Linked DNA regions of Tamandua tetradactyla. The protein of the gene in region 1 purifies or fractionates together with the protein of each later gene. This does not show direct contact. Links are inferred from orthologs where the notes say so. Each region holds a gene or a part of one and is shown in the gene's direction. Other genes may lie near its edges.

Region 1 (10,401 bases):
GAGAAAGTTAATGGAGCCCGGCTTTTAGTGTATCCCACCCCCATAACTGTCAGTTGTTACAATGCTTACCGTTTGCCTCTATTCCTTTTGTAATAGAAACAAGGAAACGCTGCACAGACAGCAGCAGAGCCTGTCAATTCCCACCCCTGGCCCAGGACAGGTAACACAGCCCCGAATATGATGGGGATGTGTCCACTAGCTCTGTTTTAATGATTTATTTTTATTGGTATACATTATATATTTTATACCATGTAATTATCCAAAATGTACAGTCAATGGCCCACAAAGTCATCATTCAGCTGCGCATTCATCAGCACAATTGACTTTTTTTTTCTTTTCTGTGAAAAATAGCATATATATATAAAGCAATAAATTTCAAAGCACAGTGCAACAATTAGTTGTAGAACAGATGTCAGAGTTTGGTATGGGTTACAATTCCACGATTTTAGGTTTTTTACTTCTAGCTGCTCTAAGATACTGGAGACTAAAAGAAGTATCAATATAATGGTTGAGCAATTGTACTCATTTGTTAAACCTGACCTTCTCTGTATAACTCCACCATCACCTTTGATCTTTCTCCCAATCTTTAGGGGTGTTGGGGCTATGTCCACTCTAACTTTTTCATGTTGGAAGGGTCTGTCACTAATATGGAGTAGGGAGATGGAACTAGCTGATGTTCTGGAGAGGCTGGGCCCTCTAGGTTTCAGGACTTACCTGGTCCAGGGACCCATCTGGAAGTTGTAGGCTTCTGGAAAGTTACCCTAGTGCCTGGAACCTTTATAGAATCTTATATATTGACCTAGGTGTTCTTAAGGATTGGCAGGAATGGTCCTGGTTGGGGTTTGGCAAGTTATGATAGGTAGCAATGTCTAACTGAGGTTTGCCTTAAGAGTGCCTCCAGAGCCGCCAGATTTAAAAATTTTTTAATCTTCTTATGGAAATGTATATAAGACAATTTGCCATTTGACCCGTTTCTAAGTGCACCATTCATGGCGTTGTGCTCTCATCACCACCGTCCTGGGCAAAAACCCTCCCATCACCTCAAAACGAAACTCTGCGCTCATCAGGCAATAACCTTCCATGCTCTGTCACGCTCCAGCCCCTGGTGACTTCCGGTCTTTCTGTTTCTATGAATCTGCTTATTCTGGACATTTCAGATGAGTGGAATCATACAATATTTGTTCTTTTGCACCTGACATCTCACTCAACATGATACCTTCGAGGTCTACCCATTTTGTCGCATGTATCAATACATCACTCCTTTTCACGGCTGAGTGATATTCCAGTGTGTGTGTGTGTGCGTGCACACACACACCACACTTTGTTCATCCGTTTGACTGATGGACGCCTGTGTTGTCTCCGCCTGCTGGCAACCATGAACGATGCCACTGCGAACCCCAATGTGCAGTTGTCCCTTGGGTCCCTGCTTCCCATTCTTTCGAGCCTCCAGTTCCTTTTAAAAACTGACATTGATATAATCCGTCATGCCCTCTACATCCCGCCTGCTTTAGACTGGCTTTCTGTCAACATTGTAACTGTGACCTGCAGCTAAGCCACTCAGACTGCCCTGCTCAATCCCACATTCGGCCACTGAGCACATGAAAAAATCAGCAAAATACCTCATTAAAAATTCTCAATGTAGATAACATGTTGAAGTGACAATGTTTTCGATATGTCCGTTTAAAGTATATTATTAAAATTAATTTCACTTGGGTTTTTTGCTAGCTTGTTTGATTTTCTAACATGGCTACCAGAAAACTGAAGCTGACAGAGGCAATTCTCGTTGGCGGCCTGCGTTATATTTCCAGGAAGGGCACTCATCTAGATCATTCCATTCAGCTGCCCGCAGTCTGATTCTAATTGGTGAATAACTACTGTTTACTGTGCGCAGAGACCTTCCCGAGGGCCTCACATGTAATGACTCATTCATCCCCCGTGAAGTTGCATGAGGTTAAGCAATTGTTAAACAAGGTGAAGTTAAAGAATTGTCCAAAGTCCCAGGACTTCACCAAAGCTGAGCTGGGATGGGGCGGCCAGCAGGTGCCTCCAGGGCCTGGACTCGGAGCCACCAAGGTGACTGGAACTAGCCAAGAAAGAGTGCAAACCTGCCTAAGCACGCCATACCCAGAGAGGTCAACTTCACAAAGTTTACAGCATCAAACTCTCCTTTCATACCAGGGAAGCACCTGCCCGTTCTGACGTTTAGCAGAGCTGCTATAAACACACATTTGTTGTGGCAATTTCAGCTTTAATGAAACCAGCTCAGGCAGTATTTTTCTGACATCTGCTTGCAGTGTTATGAAGTCAGCTTTTCTCTTGGCCAGTAATGAAATTAACTATTTTTAGGGCAAACCGTCAATGTGGTATACTTGTCCAGGCTTGCTACGCTTTCAATTTGTTTTTCTTTAGCCATATCTATTTATACCTGAAGTATTTTTGTTGTTTTTAAAGACATTCTGTCAAGGATAAAGTTAAGGCTTTATAAAGTAGACTGGGAGAAGAAAATGGGGATATTATCGATAGATACTGGATTGCCTTCTGAATTCTAATCTTTTGGATGCAAAGGTTCAGAATTGGAAGGGCTTGGAATCAGGCAAACTTCTCTGCTTTTTTGCTGTGTGAGCCAGAGGCCCGTATCCAAACCATCATAAGCCTTGGTTTACTCATCTATAAAATAGGGCTTCTCCAGCCACCTTCAGGAACCGCTTTGTGAATTAAACGAGGCGATGGCTATAGCTCAGCTCCTTTTATCTCGTTCACCCCATGGCAATGTGGGAGGTGCTACCATCATCATCACCGTCACAGCTACTCCTTCTGGTCCTTTTGTCCTGTGAGTAGTTTCCACATGACTCCAGAGGTGCCCATTTGGCCTCATCACAGCAGCCTTTCCCCTCCACGCTCTACCAGAATCCTGAACTGTCCCTTAGCGGGGAGACATCTACAGTTAGAAGAGAACCCTGTCGCCCTCTTTCCGTCCCTCCTCGCCATCTCTCTGAGAGAAAAGGGCTGAGGCCCGTAACCAAAGCTCTCGTCACACTCCCTAATGCCCACTCCCTGTGGCATACTCGTGCTGCCCAAGGGCCTGCCCCCACGTGCACCTTCCCAGTGCATCTGGAAATGCCAGCAATGGCGCTTTTCCTGAGCATGGCCATCATGTCCTCACGCTCTCCTGCTCATCATGCTGCCTGAAGATGGGCTCCTTGCCTTTCCTCACTGCCCAGGATGGGAGACGGAAGAAGGACAGGCTACACCCACCTAGAGCATTCCTAGTCCATGTTTGCCTCCGCTGACTTGCTAAGCCTAGAATGGGGATCCCCCTTGCCCAGAAATTTCTGGTACAGCCCTCTCATCATACCTGTTTTGAGAATAGTCACAAGCCCACTGTGATGGCTATTTTCACGTGTCAACTTGGCTAGGTCATGTGGTGCAACTGTCTGGTAAAGGAAGCATTGTCCTGATGGCTACTGTGAGAGTATTTTGTAGATGGATTTGCATCTACAATCAGTTGATTGCATCTACGGCCGACTGTATCTACAATCGACAGCAGAGATTGCCCTTAGCAATGAGGAGAGTCTCTTCATCCAATCAAGTGGAGGCCTTAAAGGCAGAACTGATGACTTCAGAAGTCAAAAGGAAGAATTCCTGCTTCTGTGTGTTAGTTTACTAGGCTGCTCCAGCAAATACCATGAAATGGGTTGGCTTAAACAATGGGAATTTATTAGCTTATAGTTTTGAGGCCAGGAAAATGTCCAAATCAAGGCATCATCAAGGTGATGCTTTATTCCTGAAGACCAGCTGCTGGTGACCCTTGGCTTCTCTGCCACATGCCAAGGCACACGGTGGTATCTGCTGGTCTCTCCCTTCTCTTCTAGGTTTCATTGATTTCAGCTTTTTGCTTCCGTGGCTCTCTCTTTCTCTGCATTTCACTCTCTTCTAAAGAACTCAGTATTAGAGTACGGCCCATCCTGAATGAGGTGGGTCACACCTTAACTGAAGTAGCCTCATCAAAAGATCCTACTTTCAATGGGTCCGCACCTACAGGAATAGATTAAATTTAAGCATATGCTTTTTTCTACTTCAGCTAGCCTGCTTCTCTCAGGGGATTCATCCTCACCTTCGTCAGAATACCCAATCTTAAGCCTTCCATACAGAGTTGGTGTTTGTCAATCCTCACGTGTGCCGGTTTGAATCTGTGGTGGACCCCAGAAAACCCAAAAGTTCTTTAATCCTCACTCAATATTGCTGGGTGGAGGCTTTTTGAATGTTCCCACGGAGATGTGACCCACCCAATTGAGGGTGGTCACTTCTGATTAGGTGATTTCCATGGAGATGTGTCTCCACCCATTCAAGGTGGGGTTGCTTACTGGAGCCCTTTAAGAGGGAAACATTTTGGAAAAAGCTTTAGAGCTCACAGAGCCAGAGACCTTTGGAGTTGAAGAAGGAAAATGCCCCTGGGGGACCTCCATGAAACAGGAAGCCAGGAAAGAAAGCTAGCAGATGTCGTCATGTTCACCATGTGCCTTTCCATTGGAGAGAGAAACTCTGAACGTCATCCGCCTTCTTGAACCCAGGGATCTTTCCCTGGATGCCTTCGATTGGACGTTTCTATAGCCTTACTTTAATTGGGACATTTTCACAACTTTAGAACATGTAAACTTACAACTTAATAAATTTCCCTTTTTAAAAGCCATTCCATTTCTGTTATATCACATTTCTAGCAGCTTGCGTTGCCCCAGACAATTCCTAAAATAAAACTCTCACTATTTACATATTCTGTTGCTCTGGCAAACCCCAATACACCCACCAAAACCCCACCTCTCTGGCCTGGGATGCTAGGAGGTCCTTGTGCAAATGAGACCTTTGGGGTCAGCCACATGACTGCATTCCAGGGCGATGCGGTTGAGGCTCGCCGCGACCCTGAACCAGGTAAGGCTGTAGGTGTGATGAAGCTGGTCCGCCGCGAGTACCTGAGGCCATTTTCCCTCCGGCGGCGATACTGACCCATCCCTCTGTCTTCTGTGGGCGTTGGGACTGTCCCCCTCCTTTAGAAGTCCGCCCAGCCCCTGCGGCCAGCAGGTGCTCTCGCCACCTCGTCGGCCGGCCTCCGCAGTCCTAGGAGTTCTGCAGGCCCACAGCTGGCCGTCTCTGGACCCTTCGGGCTGGCCCAGGGTGCGGCCGCGGGAGAGCGGCGCCAGCCCGGGTGGCGTCTTCTCCTGGGCGCGGTGGGGTACGGCCAGTCCCCCGCCCCGCCATTCCCGTGGGCCCCCCCGGAGGCCCCCCAGGAGGCCCTGCAGGGGCTGGGCCGCGCCAGGCCTAGTCATCTCACGGCTTCCGGCTTTGGTTGCCTTTCTATCCTCGTCGTCAGCAGAACAGAAATAAAGACTGTGTTATTTTTGGAAATAAATCTCCTAATTCTGAGTAGTTAATAATTGAGTTATCCTGACCCACAGCTCATGCAGGCCACCCCAGGCCCGCCAACACGCCGTCGCCTAGCAACAGCATTCCCCACCCGCTCCCTGCGCTTCGGCTCCGCCCAGGCGGCAGTGCGCACGCGCAGAGCCGCCTCCGCGCCCCGACGCCGCGCAGTAGTGACGTGTGCGACCCGCGACGCTTCCGGTGGGTGGGCTCTTCCGGGGCGGCCTGCTGACCGACTGACCGTGCCTCCCGTGCCATGTCCTCCTCCGGGGTGGCCGGCGGGCGTCAGGCCGAGGATATCTTACCGCCGCCCGCCGAGCCGTCGCTGCCCGAGACCAAGCCGCTGCCGCCGCCCCAGCCGCCGCCGCCGGCCGCCGCGTCCCAGCCGCAGCCGTCGCCGGCACCGAGGCCGCAGTCCCCCGCGGGCGTGAAGGAGGAGGAGAACTACTCCTTTTTACCTCTGGTGCACAACATCATCAAATGGTAAGGGCCTCCAGGAGGACTCGCCCGCGACGTTCCCGCCTGCCTCTTACACCCGTTTCAGAGCTGAAGAGGCCTGGGCTCTCTTAGGCCCGTCCCGTTTTACAGATGGGGAAACTGAGACCCAGAGGGAGAAGAGAACTTCCCGAGACCACACAGGGACCTTCCAGGCATTCAGCAAACGCTCTGAGCCCTCAGAGTGGCCAGGCCCCTGATGGCTGGTTGATGTGAACAAAAACGAAGCCAGTTTAGAGACTGAGTGCACTGGCTTTGGTATGAAAGGGCTCGCATGAAGTCAGTTAAGCCTCTGTGACCTCAGTTTCTCACTTCTAATATCCGGATAATAGAACCCTTCTTCCTTTTTTCATTTAGCCAAAAGTTATGGCTCTTCTTCCCTGTGTGGCGCTACTTGCTAGGGGATGTTCGGATTTAAAAACGCTGTATTAGTTTAAGCTGCCAGAATGCAATATACCAGAAACAAGGGGCTTTTAAAAGGGGATTCAATAGTTACAAGTTTACAGTTCTAAGGCGGTGAAAATGTCTAAATTAAGGCACCCGTAAAAGGTTACCTTCAAGAAAGGCTCCCGCCCTCTGAAACACCTCTGTCAGCTGCAAAGGCACGTGGCTGGCGGCTGCTGGTCCTTGTTCCCAATTCTGTTGCTTCCAGCTTCTGATGCCAGTGGTTTCCTTTCTAAGCATCTGTGTGCCTTCACTTCGCATCTTTGGAACACAGTTCTGGGTTCTAGTTTACTTAGCATCTCATGGGTACGGGCATGTGCTCTCTCTGTGTTGGAAGCATCTTTAAACATCCATGTCTCTGTCAGCTCCGAAGCAGTTGTTCTCCAAGCTTCTGTATCTGTGTCAGCTCTGAGCTCCCTCCAAAATATTTCTCCCTTTAAAGACTCCAGTGAACTAATCAGGACCCACCTGAGATGGGTGGAGTCATATTCCATCTAATCGAAAGGTCACACCAGCAACTGGAAGTGCCACATCTCTGGTGATAATCTAATCAAAGGGTTTCTGCCTTACAATATTAAATCAGGATTAAAGGAAACAGCTGTCCCCACAAGATTGGATCAGAATTAGAACATGGCTTTTCTAAGGTACATAATAGTTTCAAAGCGGCACAAGAGCCAAGTTTTCACCCCCATATTTCTTACCAGCTAGTAGAAAAACCCTGACATGAATATGAATAGCCCATAATTCAGACAAGAGAGGAGAGGGGCGGATGAGGGGGAATCTTAAAGTTGCCCCACTGGATTAGATCCCCTGATTTGACCTTCATTCTAGCATGGTTATCAGAGGGGGTGGTTTGTCATCCTTTTGACCAGCCTTCAGGTAAGCCTGAATTTTCAAACTGACCCCTAAAAAGGAAAAAAAGTTTCTCTAAACCCCATATGTACTTAAATTATTTTTCTTGTTATATTACTTGAATATATAGTCACATAATACTAGGTGTGCTTATGCTTAGAACCCTTATTCAAAATGAAGTACATTAAAATTACCACTTCAGGAAAGTTCAAACGAGCATTAATGTGCTCTGTGAGGTTTTGCTGAAATGAAATTGCTACTCACAACACGAACATACTATTGACAGCCTAAATTCTTTTGAGGTTAGCCACCCTCAGTTCACTTGTCATGGGTGACATGACGTTTCCACTGCTGTTTTATTCAGACAGCTCCAAGACCCTTGCTAGGCCCTGATGCCCGTGGGCTTTGCCTGGTGTGAGCGCACCATGTGTAACTTAGGGCAGACTCGTTAGTGTGACGGTCAGGTAGGGCAGACTCTCAGGTAGTATTTCCTGGCAGCAAACAGAAAAGCAGATGCAGACCCTGCAGTCCTGGCAGAAATGAATTATAAAGGCCTTAGCCAGGTTAACACGAATATGCATACCAATTTTAAGAAAGCTCCAAAATGAGAACAGAAGGCCCAGATGCTTAGAGATACCTCTTGGACCCACAGGAGGTGCGTTCCTGAGCCCTAGAGGAGCAATGGGCTTGGGCAGTTGAGTATACTAGAGAGAACACAGGCTTCGGAGGCAGAAGGCCTGCATTCAGATCTGTGCGCTGATGCCTTCTTACTTTATAATCTTGCTAAATACTTAACTTTTCTAAGTCTTAATTTTCTTAACTCTAAAATGTGAAAAACATGAGTTCACATTACAGCTCTGAAACTTACTGACTGGGTGACCTTGGGCAAGTAACTTAAATTCTCTGTGATTCTTTTTCTCTTATGAAAGGGATAGTTTTTAGAAGCATAAAGCGAAAGAACAGGATAAAATATGGTTACCACAAAGTGGACACCCAGCCCTTAGCAGTCTGAATCCCAAGCCGAAAGCAGTCTGCCCTACAGAGAGCCAGGGCCTCCCCCAAAATCTCAGGAGTTGGCAATGCCAGGAACTGGAGTAGGGGTGAAGGTGAGAGACCACCAAGGATCACCTAAAAGTAAGCCAGATCTCAGTCTTCTGCCCCGGCTCCAGGCCACCAGATGACTGCCCTTCTTCCGTCTTTGCAGAGGATGAGAGGGCTGTTTTTTTTTAGGAAAGAGTCAGCCAGAGAATCTCTGGACTAGGAGACTGTGGGCACCCTTCAGGTATCAGGGGGAGCCATACTGAAAATTGGGACAGAGAGAATGCTGGCAAACTGCAGGGTGCCTTCCACCCCCCCCCAGGCTGCTTCTGGCGGGCTTGTTCCCTTTCAGGCAGGAGTGTGGGGCAGTCTCTGGGGGTCTGACCAGCCCAAGAGAAGAGACGCGGCTGCCCCAAGCATAGCTGAGTCCAGTCATTAGATACTCATGCTGACGCTCAGAGGGTCTGTTAAGCCTCGGAGTGTTTGACCCTTAAACCTGTGACTGGGCAGCTGAGATCGCTGAGCATTTGGAGATAAACCCTGTAAGAAAGAGGACAAAACAGAATCCAGGAAAAGCCACTTGGAGGAAGCAGTAGGCTCTGAGCGATGAAGAGAGAGTGTTGCTGTGAAAAAAAGACTAGGATCCAATTAAAAATGTCATTATATAGGCATCTATTTGACTTTCTAGGCTCGTGAGAGAAAGATATGGAATGTAAGTGGCAGGTGGAAGTATGCATGAGGAGCAAGGAAGAGGCAGCCTCTTCCCGCTTGGAGGTGTCAGAACGCCTGAGGGATGATGCCAGAAGCGAGTCTGAAAGGGAAGAGGGAGGCAAAGTGCTGGAGGGGGAGGATGGGTGAAGACTGGAAGCCGGGCAGCAGCGTGCTTGGGGAGGGGCCATCAGTTTGCCTTGCAGGAGTGTGAGAGCCCACAGTGGGTGGGGCAGGAAGGAAGAGCCAGAAAGGAGGGAAGAACTTGGATGCTGCGGCCAGTGCACCCCCTGAAGGAGCAGGGTTGGGGAGCCAGGGATGACCTGCCCTGACGGATGCCTGAGGTGGGTGCGGCTGCAGCAGTCCTGGGAGGCGGGGTGGGGCTGGGCCAGTCCTTTGACTCTCTGTCTACTCCTTCTCCAGGGGTGAATAAGGAACAGACCTCAAGGAGTCAGTGTGGTCTTTCTTGTTCTCACAAAGGATTCAGAGTGCCACATCATTAAAGTTTCTTTAAAAATGTATTTAATAAACATAACAATGGCAAATTCACAAATACAGAGAGGTACGAAATGAAATAATGTTCCTTCCCCCAAACGCTTCACCAGCAATAAATGCTGTCAATATGTAAGTATCCTTCTAGAAATTATATATGCATATTTTTTAAATGTTATGCAAATTGAGATCATACCATACTTTGCTTTTTTTACTTTATAGTGTATTTTGGAGCCTTTTTCATGGTGCACAAAATGATCTATCCCCTAAAGCAGCTGCAGAAAATTCCATCTTACGAGTACACTTTGGTTGATGTGACTAACTAGTCTTCTGTACATGGACTTTTAGGTGTTTTTCTAAGTTTTTGCTCTGACCAGTAATGCTGGGATAAGTGTCTTTGTATTCGAGTGACTTTATTGTGAAATAAATCCTCAGCAGTGGAATTGCGGGATTGGAGGGTATTTTTTTAAAATTGTGATAGCTATTGCTAAATGTAGAATGTTGTATTTTTTTAATTGTTAAATATAACATACATACATAGAAAAGTAAAAAAACAATGATTTTCAAAGTGTACTTCATTACGTAGATACAGAACAGATTTCAGAGTTTGTTATGGGTTACCATTCCACTATTTCAGATTTTCCTTCTAGCTACTTCAAAACACTGGAGGCTAGAAGAAATGTACTCTTTCTTTTTTTTGTGAAAAATAACATATATACTAAAAAGCAATAAATTTCTAAGCACATCGCAACAATTGGTTGTAGAACAGATTTCAGAGTTTGATATGAGTTACAATTCCACTGTTTTAGGTTTTTACTTCTAGCTACTCTAAGATACTGGAGACTAAAAGAAATACCAATATAATGATTCAGCACTCATACTCATTTGTTAAACCCTACTTTCTCTGTGTAGCTCCACCTTTTCCTTTGTCTTTCTCCCACTCTTGAGGGGTGTTTG
Region 2 (10,499 bases), on another chromosome or scaffold:
TGACTTCAGGAAAACCAGAAAGTATAAGATTCTGTTTAGATTTAAGGAATCAAAATCTGATTAAAAAAAATAGAGAAGGTAAAAAGAATGGATAAACTTGTGAAATTGATTCTTAAGAAAAACAGAAAAGAAATAAAAATGTAAGTTATACCTGGAGAGGGTCACAAGAAAATATCTTACAAGGGAGATGGAAATAGTTTTCTTCAGCATTTGTGTTTAGGAAGATGAAATAAAGGGAGGTGCAAGGGTAGTTCAGTGGTAGAATTCTCACCTGCCATGCAGAACACCTGGGCTTGATTCCAGGGCCATGCATTTTCCCAAACAAACAAATGAACCAACAAAGGCAAATAAACTAACAAAAAATTCAATAAACGGTACTGCAATAATAGGATACTCACATGGAAAAAAAAATGAAATGCTACCCTGTCCATAGAGCATACACACACACACACAAAGAAAAAGAAAAAAAGAAAAAGCACAATAAAATTCCTTTCAGTAAGGAAAAATTTTTAACCTTTTTAAAGCAGAGAGCCTATTATTTCTATTTCACAACAAAATTTTTTAGTTCAGTTTGGGTAACACTGGTTTAAGGCATCAAATGAATCTATCTGTAAAATTGGCATGGATGGAAACTACTAGTGTTGTAAGACCTTTCACATTTAAAAACTTGAGGATCTCATTTTGCTGGCTGGAATATTTTGCAAATTTTTGCCTTTCTGATACAACTGCTTCACAATAAGGTATAAATGACTAACATAACTGCTATCCTAGACCCAACTGGCTCTGAAAGGTAAGAATTAGTTGATGAAGTTGAAGTGACAGAACAGAACACTATTAGAAAGCAGCATTGTTATGGTGACATTATTGATTACTAAGGAATCAAAAACTGGGCACAATTACTTTAGGAGGGTAGAAAAAAGTTAAATGATCAACGTGATTCTTTGACACAGGATACTGGCTAGAATACAATTCTGAGAGTGAAATTATAAGTGATCCTGATGAGGCAAAGGAAGGAAAAATACTTAAGAACTTGGTGTTCTATCACAGGGTGTGCTGGTTTGAAAGGAAGTACGCCCCCTAAGAAAAGCCATGTTTTAATATAAATCCCATTTCATAAAGGTAGAATAATCCCTACTCAATACTGTATATTTGAAACTGTAATGAGATCATCTCCCGGGTTGATGTGATTTAGTCAAGAGTGGTTGTTAAACTGGATTAAGGGACGACATGTCTCCACCCATTTGGATGGGTCTTGATTGGTTTATTGGAGTCCTACAAAAGAGGAAACATTTTGGAGAGAGAGATTCAGGGAGAGCAACACTATGAAGCTGAGAGTCCACCAGCCAGTGATCTTCGGAGATGAAGAAGGAAGATGCCTCCCGGGGAGCTTCATGAAACAGGAAGCCAGGAGAGAAAGCTAGAAGATGACGCTGTATTTGCCATGTGCCCTTCCAGATGCGAGAGAAACCCTGAGTGTGTTTGCCATGTGCCTTCTCATTTGAGAGAGAAACACTGAACTTCATCAGCCTTCTTGAACCAAGGTATCTTTCCCTGGATGCCTTTGATTGGACATTTCTATAGACTTGTTTTAATTGGGACATTTTCTCAGCCTTAGAACTGTAAACCAGCAACTTATTAAATTCCCCTTGTTAAAAGCCATTTCATTTCTGGTATATTGCATTCCGGCAGCTAGCAAACTAGAACACAGGGAGATACAGACATAATTAAGTGAATTAGAAACTGGTCAGTAACCAGATTCAAAGGATACTGATTAACAGATCTGTTGCAAGAAACAAGCTTGAATCAATCAACAACTTGGATGAAAATCAAAACTGCAAATGAAAATAAAATTTGCAAGATCGAAAGCTGCCATGAGATCCTACAATTGGATTCAAATGATGTATAAAGGCAGGACAGGTAGAGTTAACCCTATTCCAAACTAAACTCATCTGAGGGCACTGATGCAAAAATTCAGTTCTGAGTATCATACTTTAAGAAAAACAAAAGAAATAAAACATTCTGAAAGGCAGCATGGGATGATGAATAAATGGTTGTGGCCCTATCTCTCAAAGAGAATAGCTGTAGGAAAGGAAGACAAATTACCTGGATTATGTCAGCATGCGTGTTCAATGTTCATCAGATGAACAAATGAAAGAGAAGAAAAGGGTAAGGATAGAAGGACAATGAGAGAGGACATTGACCTTTAAAATAATCAAGGTCTTGTAAGGAAATTACATTGGCATTACATTGGTTTCATAGAACTTCAAGAATGGGTCTAACATACAGGGAAACTCTTCAGCTGAACACAAAGAGAATCAAAGACTAAATGGGTTACCTGGGGAGGTAAAGTGATACTGCTTTAGCTGATGGGTGAGTCACTCTTAAGTTCAAGCTGGATGACCTTTTCATGTATGTGTTATAAAGGGAATTCAAGCATGGAATAAGTAGTTGAACTGCAGCAGTAATGTCTGAGATTTCCTTCCAACCTCAAAGGTCTAGGATTCTGTAAATGTCTCTTAACCAACATTAACACCCACAATGATAATGCAAATAGGTTGTCAGCAGTGAAGTCTACCAAATATAATGCAGTACTAGAAGGTATATGGAGTCATCTGTGAATTGCTTCTATGAATGAATCAGAACTGAGTCTAAAATGAAAGTATAGTCCCTTTTCTTGTTTCTGCCAATTAATACAGTACTTACACAATGACAGTTAATATTTCTAAAACAAACCAATACATACACAATTTTCCTTTGTAATTCCAGGAGTATCATAAAACCAGTGGGAATCTTTCACATCTTGTGGGGTCAATTCTACTTTTTTGGTGGATTTTTCTGCAACCAGAACAGGTTCATTTTCCATGTCAACGGCAAGTGAATCAGCATCAAACTCAAAGGCAGCTTCATCCGTCTTTTCTTTTGAGTATAGGAATGTTTTTCCAACTCTTCCTGGAATAAGTTATCAGGTGCTCCTTTAAAACTTTTGACTCCAGACAGTTTTTTGCTTGTTTCAAATAAATTACTAACTACAGCAAATGGAAACAATGCTATCTTTGTAACAAAGCATGAGAGTTACACTGTTGCAATGATCAAGTGTGTGTCTGGCTGGGCACACATGGGGGGTGGGGGAAGGTTGGAAATCAAACTTTTTAATAAAGGAAGGCTGAAAAGGGATACCAAGGAAAGGGGACAGCTCAGTTTTTAAGCTGCTGCATGAAATGAACAGTCTTTACTATCTGTAACGGTCTACCTGGCAGAGGGAATAGCTTGGGGAAAATGCTTCTACCACTGACATTGTCTAGGTGGACAGTTATTGCATGCTTCCTTTCCTGGACTTCTCTAAGTATCACAATCTCCATTTTCACAGATTACTGAACTTCCAAAAAGTAGCCATGCTTTAAAAGGGCTCTAAGTTCTAATGACCAGACAGCTGTATTTCAGGTTGCTCAACAAAGAATTTTGGCATAGAACCATTACGTTTTCCTGTGGAAGATGCTTACCTACTATATAACCATGCTTTTTCAAGATATTAAGTTGACTTTGTTCTTGCTTAGTAAGAGCTTCTTCAGATTCAGCCGCATCTTTTTTAAGCCTCTTGTGCCTTTCAAACATTCTGTAAGGAGTTGGGTTGCAAATAGGAAACCTAAGAAGGTTTAATGTAGTACCTGAAATACCAAAGAATAAGTATGTTTTTATAAACATTGTACCAAAAAAGGGAGTAAAAGGAGGAAAACTATCAGTTTTGAGGAGCTACACTGTGTTCTATCTTAATCAACCCTTGATATGACCCTCTATAAAATTATTTTCATTTTAGAGATGAGGAAACAGTCTCAGAGACTGGATCATAGCCTAGACTAGGATTTGAATTCTAGTTCCTGTAGGCTTAAATTTTTTCCATTTTCACCATGCTACCATTCAGTACAAAAGCACGTCTATGTATAATGCAACTAAAGTGTAAGCAAGATAGGGAAGAAAAACAGTTTACCAAACAAAATTAAACTGATTTCAAAGGAATAAACGGGGCAGCTAGTAACACTAAAGAGTCAACTGTTAAATACAAACATGGTCACAGAAGGAGCCATTTACAGAAACTTCTGTGACAAAGTAGACATTTCTTCTCAACAAAGCCACATATATTGCATTAGTGAATTACTCAAATGTTAAACATGCATAGCATACTTTCTCATGAATAAACTCAAGACGTGGGGAGTAGGATTGCAGAGTGAAAGGAAGTTCATGGAGTAAAAGGAAGCACGACTTTTGGGAGGAACATAAAACTAGAAGGCTATAAGGGAAACGTCCAAGAGGGTAGGACGTTTCCTGGCGTATCGCCATTTCCTAGAACAGCGACTGACACAAAGAAGTGCTCCATAAGTATTTCCACTAGAAAATTAGTAAAAAAATATATAGTATCTCCAAGCACTAAACTGACTCAGAAAAGAGACTAGTGTCCTAAGGAGAGAATTTTAAAAGGAAAGATTCCAGGCACCCCCTGGTGGACATTATACAGAGATGTAATCGGAGCCTCGGGCCACCACCAGACATCCGTCTTCTCAGAGAGCGAAAAAGGCCGAGGCTCTTAAGGCTCACCTGGCCATGGGGAGATGGTAGCTCTGTCGATGGCCTCCGCGCCCTTGGCGGTGCAGTAGTCCGACTCCAGGAGTGTGTTGAAGAGAGTGGACTTGCCGGCGTTGGTGCCGCCGACCAGGTAGACATCGCCGCGGTAGCGCCAAGAGCGCTGAAGCGCGGTGATCAACTCTTCCACCCCGTAACCGGTCTTGGCGCTGATCAGCCGCACGTCCCTGAGCACCGTACGGTGCTGGGACGGCGGATTCCGTTTCTCCGCCAGCTCCCGAGACCCATTTCTGCCCGGGTCCTGTGGCCCCTGGTGGCTAGGGGATGGCCGGAGCCCGGCGCGGACACAGTCATCCCAAAGACGATCGCGGAGCCGACGACGGTAGCCCGGGGTGTCTTGGGGCAGCAGGTCCACCTTGTTCCCCAGCACGATCAGCTGCTTGGGGCCCACCATCGCAGGCAGGTCGGGCAGCAGGGCATCGGGCAGGTCCAGCAGATCTACCATGTAGAGCACCAAGGAGGGCCCGGGTCGCCGCAGTGCGGCGCTCACCAGCTCCAGGTACTGCTCGCGGCTCACCTGCACGCGCAGGGCGCGCTGGTGGTGCACCAGTAGCCAGCAGCGCTGGCACACCGTCCGCGCTAGCCCGCCGTCCTCCTGCGCCGCTGCACTGAGGAACTTCTCGCTGGGCAGGTAGCCAGGCACGCTGGGATCCTGGCAATGTAACTCCGCTCCACAGCCCGAGCAGCTCACGCCGCTGGACGGCACCGCCGGGTCTGGATGCCCCATTATCTGGTGCTCCCGACATCTGGCCCGTACCTTCTGCAGCTGCCGCTGCTCCCGCCGCCGTTGCCTCTGCCGCTCCTCCTCCTCCTGCCGCTGCCGTAGCTCCTCCAGCAGCTCTTCGGAGGTCGGTGCGGGCTTTGACTCCAGGATGTACTCGGGGAACAGAAAACGCTCCTCCAAGTCGGGACTTCCACCATAGTCCCGAGTCGCCGTCGGGCCACGAGGAAACTCACGTCCCAGGTTGGAGAAGTGCTGGAAGAAGGAAGCGGCCGTACATCCCCTCCCGAGAAGGGGCTCCGGGAGGCCATGGCGCACTACCACGGGAGCCGATCCCCACAGTAAAGGCCACAGAACTCGGCGCGTTAGAAACGCGGGCAGCATGAGGAACACCGCCCTCCGGCAAAGAGGCGGAGACACGTGCGCACACGCGCACTGGGGCCGGGAGACGAGCTCCTGCTGGTGCCTGGGAGTGGTCACTTGTCACCTGCCTCATCCGGTTCTTCTTTCCACGTCTCATCCCGTGAATTCTCGCGATTGGAGCGCTCTGCTGCAATTGCACCAAGGCCCTAAATAGAAACCTAGACCGGCAGAAGATGATAATGAGCGCTTTGGTTTGTTCATTAAGCTTCTTCAGTGCGCCTCCGCCGGCAAGCCCCTTTCTCCCCTTAGTAAATCACATTTTTGAAAAGCTTAGTGATTTTTGGATTTCAGGAGTGCAAAAAAATAGAAGTGCGGACTCACGGGTCACAATTAAAATCTTTTATTAATAAATCTTTTTGGTTTTTTTGCAGGAGCAAAAAAATGTAACAACAGTGAAAAAACAAAAATCTTCCCAGATATCTTTTGCTGACCGGATCCGACAGGCAAACTACAGTCAGAACTAGCAATCAGCCACGGCGCCATCGGTTTACAATTTGCGCATGCGCAAATTTAACCCCGGACAACCTTACGCTACTATTTGCGCAGACTCAATCCTACAGTTGACTTCTCGTGGGAGGGTTTTAGGTGTAAAACGCAGAGTATTCTGGGAACGTCCCAGACGGAAGTCGTATGGTTTGTGTCTCTGGTTTGCTGCTGCTGCGCTGCATTCTCTCTCAGATTTCTAGAGTTAAGAGCTCGGGAACCGGTTGCCAAAATGTATGACGCGGATGAGGGTAGGTGACCACTCAAAATACGCTTCACGGTGACCCATTTAGGGAGGGAAATTTGGGGAATTGGGTGGATAGAGGATTTGCGGCCTCCCCTCGCCCACTGCACGAGTGGTTTCAGTCATGCTTCCCTACCCCCGCAGGCCGGGAGCGAAGAACATACTGCGTGGGATGGAAGATGCGGGGAAATAGCGTTGATGGTCTCCATACAGTTGGCTCTTATATTTCCCCTATCTCTATTATCTGTGCTGTTAATTCTGATGTCTCCTTACCGTATTGCAAAAGCGTACGGAATCGTTAAGACAAGTTCGTTGTTTTAACGAGGTCTGAAGCAAAGGGCCCCCTTTTTTATTTTTTGGGTTCACAGTTGTCCTGTTTATTGCGTAGTTCAAATTTTGAGCATCGGTTTTGTGCCAGGCATTGAGCTAGGCCCTGAAAATACACCGGAGACAAAGAATGCAGCAGGGGAAGAGATTGCATCTAGTTTGGCCTACCTTCATGTTTTCTTAAGTCTAAATTGTCTTCAAAAAATTACTTTTAAACTTTCTTCTCCCACAAGATGACACAGTTCTAAGATGGTTCAATATATCTTATTTTCTTTTCACTTATATATTTCTTAGTGTATCTTCATGTTGTGTTTTTAAACCTTCCTCTTCCGTTTCTACAGCTGCTATTTCATACTTCATTCTCTTCGAATTTACCATCCCATGGCCACCCCTCACTCTTTTTTCGTTCCTTTAGCTACTTCTCGGAGAAAATAGAAGCAAAAGCTTAAAATACTGCTCTGACTTCTCTGTCTCATTACATCTTTTATCTAGAAATTTATTAGCATTACATTCCTTTATTCTCTTAATTCCTGTTTCAGTGGGAATAAATTTTTAAAGAAGTTTTTTATCTTATTTTTAAGTAGGTAATATATTTTATGGCTCGCAAGTCAGAAAATACAAAAATGTTGAATGTCAGGATTCATTCTTGTTTATCATGTGTCCACAATAGATTAACAAATGTTCTTAGATTCTTATCGCTTTCCAGTGTATCTTATACATATCCAAGCAAAAATAAATGGGATTCTGTATTTTTCTCCCTTTTACAGGCAAAAAGTAGCACTCACACTTTTCTGTACTTTTTTGTTTGCTTGCTTAATACAGCTAGGAGATTTAAATATCAATAGATAGAAAGCTTTCTCCTTTTATTTTTCTCTACAGCAGCTTACTTTGTGTGGATGTACCATAACTCAAGTCTTTTGCTGATGGGCAGTCCTTTTCTAGTTCAAAGATGTTGTAATGAATAATCTTGTACTTATGTCATTTGTATGTCTGTAGTCTGTAAGGTAACGTATGTCTGTAAGATAAACTCCTACATGTGAAATTGATGTATCAAATGATACATATATTTAACATTTTGATAGATGGTGCCAAATGACCGCCATACCTGAGTACTCCCATCTGCCTCCCCAAAATTCTAGAAGTGGTACTGCAATAACGAGGTAGTCACATGGAAAAAAAATGAAATGTGACCCCCACTACACAGCATACAAAAAAAAAAAAGACGAACATAGTGGTTGTACTAATTTAGTTTCCCAGTGGCAATTTAACTTTTTTAAAAAAAATTAAGCTTATCCTGTCAAGTCTTTGCTCTGGCATCAAGTCTACATTCCATTCCTTTGAAATATTTATTAGATATCCCTTCATCAGTTTTCAGGAATTTCTTTTCACTAGCTTCTTTTTATGAGAAAATATCAGAGCTTTCTCATCCTCAGGAAACCGTTTAAGCCCTCTTTCCATCATTTCCTTTTTCTTCCAAAATTTTGCCTTTCTCCTTCCATTCATAGCTAAGCTTCTAGAAGGAATAGGCTATACATGTTGCTTCTAATTCACGTGGTTCATTTTCTCCTCAACCCTTTGCAGTCGGATTCTGCTCATGCCACTATATTAAAACAGCTCTTAATAGGATAAACAGTGACTTGTCAGTTGATAAATTAGATGAACATTTAAAAAAATATATTTTTACAGTAAAAGCTTAACATACAAATATATATTCTTTGACATAAAAACATACCATACATGGTGTACAATCAATGGCTCATAATATCATCTCACAGTTGTATGTATGTTCATCACCATGATCATTTTTTGAACATCTGCATCACCCCAGCAAAAGAAATGAAAAGAAAAAAGATAACACTCAAACATCCCTCACCCCCCTCTCATTGACCACTAGTGTTACCATCTACCCAATTTATTTTACCCTTTGTCCCCCCCATTATTTATTTATTTATTTTTAATCCATATTTTTTACTCATCTATCCATACCCTGGATATGAGGAGCATCAGACACAAGGTTCTCACAATCACACAGTCACATTATAAATGTTATGTGAACATTTTTAAAACTTCATCTTGAACACTGTGGCATTTGGCATAGTTGTTGACTTTGTCCTGGAAACTCACTCCTCCTTTTGCCATGTCACTTTCGCTTGATTCTTCTTACCTTGCAGACTTTTCTTTTCATTCTCTTCTGTTCACATTCATAGCCACTCTTTCTCCTTGAGGGTTCTGTCTGTTAAGTATGTCAAATCTGGTCATTTCTCTCCTATCCACTCTGTCACAGTTGTGGTTCAGACCACTACCGTCACTTGCCTAGATCACTTCCCCAGACTGGTTTCTCTACCTCCAGTCTTACATCTCCTATCCACTTTCCACATTGTGGCCATAATGGCATAATATCCTTTCCAAAATGAAAGCCTGATAATGCCACACCCCTGCTAGTTTGGTTCCTCAGAACTCTTGATAATGACCAACCCTCCTTACCACTTCCAACTTCCAGTTCAGTGATTTAGCTACATTAACCTTCTTTCATTCCTTGGGTGTGCTACACTCTCCTTTTTTTTTTTTTTTTTTTTGTACGCACATTCATTACAACTTTATTTGTGCTAGCTAAAAATCTCAGCAACAAAAAACAGACACATTGTGAACTTTAGATACTGCAGATGTATACCATAACTTAGATAAATCTCAAAAGCAGCATTCTAAGTGAAAGAAGCCACTTGAAAAGACTACATACTATGTGATTCTATTTATTTGAAATTCTAGAAATACAATTGTAGTGATGGAAGGCAGTAGCAGGAGAGATCATTTTGGACTGATGAAAATGTTCCGTATGATCGTGATGGTGGTTACACACTATACGTTTGTTAAAACTTGCCCATTTGCATACTTAAAGTTGATGAATTTTATTTTATGCAAACTATACTGAATAAAGCCTATTTATGGAAAGAAAAAATAAGGAACGCTTTCCCCCGAAAAAAGCAGAAAAGAGGGCGAATAAGACCTAAGGGTTTCTCAGTTTTAGGCCTTTTCCAGGGGCTTCACTGTCTTTTAATTGTGGAGTCTTTTGTACAAGTTGTTTTCCTCTAGTTAGACTACTTCTTTCTTCCACCCCTCCCACCCACATCCCGTCTTTGCCTGATTTACTCCTTTTCATTAAGTCTGTGCTCACCTTACCTTTTGGGAAGTCTTCCCTGCCCTCTGCAGGTCCTGTTGAGAGTATCTATATCATATTGTTTTGCTTAATTGGCTTAATCTTGTCTCTGTCTCTCCAGTAGGCAATACTCTCCCTAAGAATAGTGCTGTCTTTGTATTGATAAGCTAGCCAGTACCTCTGTCCAGTGCTTGGGACATAGGAGACACTCACACTCAATAAATATTGAATGAATGAATGAATGGATAAATCAGTCTCTTTCATGCCTTCATTTTCCTTCACATAACTCTCAAACAGCAATGTTCCCTAATATCTTGCCTTCATTCTTCCGTTCTGTATGTGACTCCTTAATCTGCCACCCATTTGTTACTGATTCCTAAGTCTTTGTAATTTAGGCCCCTCATTAGCACTTAATGTTCATATATAGTTGCCTGCTGGGAGTTTTTTTTTCATTGTAAAGACTGTATTTGAACAATAGATTATATTAAAACTTTAAATTTAAGGCAAACAAG

The links.
Region 2: the proteins of MED9 (region 1) and POLR2B purify together in Homo sapiens (affinity purification with mass spectrometry; 4 studies listed by BioGRID and IntAct, with this or other methods). This does not show direct contact. The link is inferred for Tamandua tetradactyla from reciprocal best matches to the Homo sapiens genes MED9 and POLR2B.

What each region holds. Positions count from the first base shown.
Region 1 is NC_135332.1:1,171,939-1,182,339, forward strand, and holds the start of MED9 (mediator of RNA polymerase II transcription subunit 9), read left to right. Parts: upstream 1-5,626; 5' UTR 5,627-5,671; coding exon 5,672-5,898; intron 5,899-10,401.
Region 2 is NC_135345.1:57,598,628-57,609,126, forward strand, and holds the start of POLR2B (DNA-directed RNA polymerase II subunit RPB2), read left to right. Parts: upstream 1-6,373; 5' UTR 6,374-6,494; coding exon 6,495-6,513; intron 6,514-10,499. Other genes in the region: NOA1 (nitric oxide-associated protein 1), read right to left, coding at 2,744-2,949, 3,501-3,665, 4,591-5,740. UniProt on the Homo sapiens protein: Catalytic core component of RNA polymerase II (Pol II), a DNA-dependent RNA polymerase which synthesizes mRNA precursors and many functional non-coding RNAs using the four ribonucleoside triphosphates as substrates.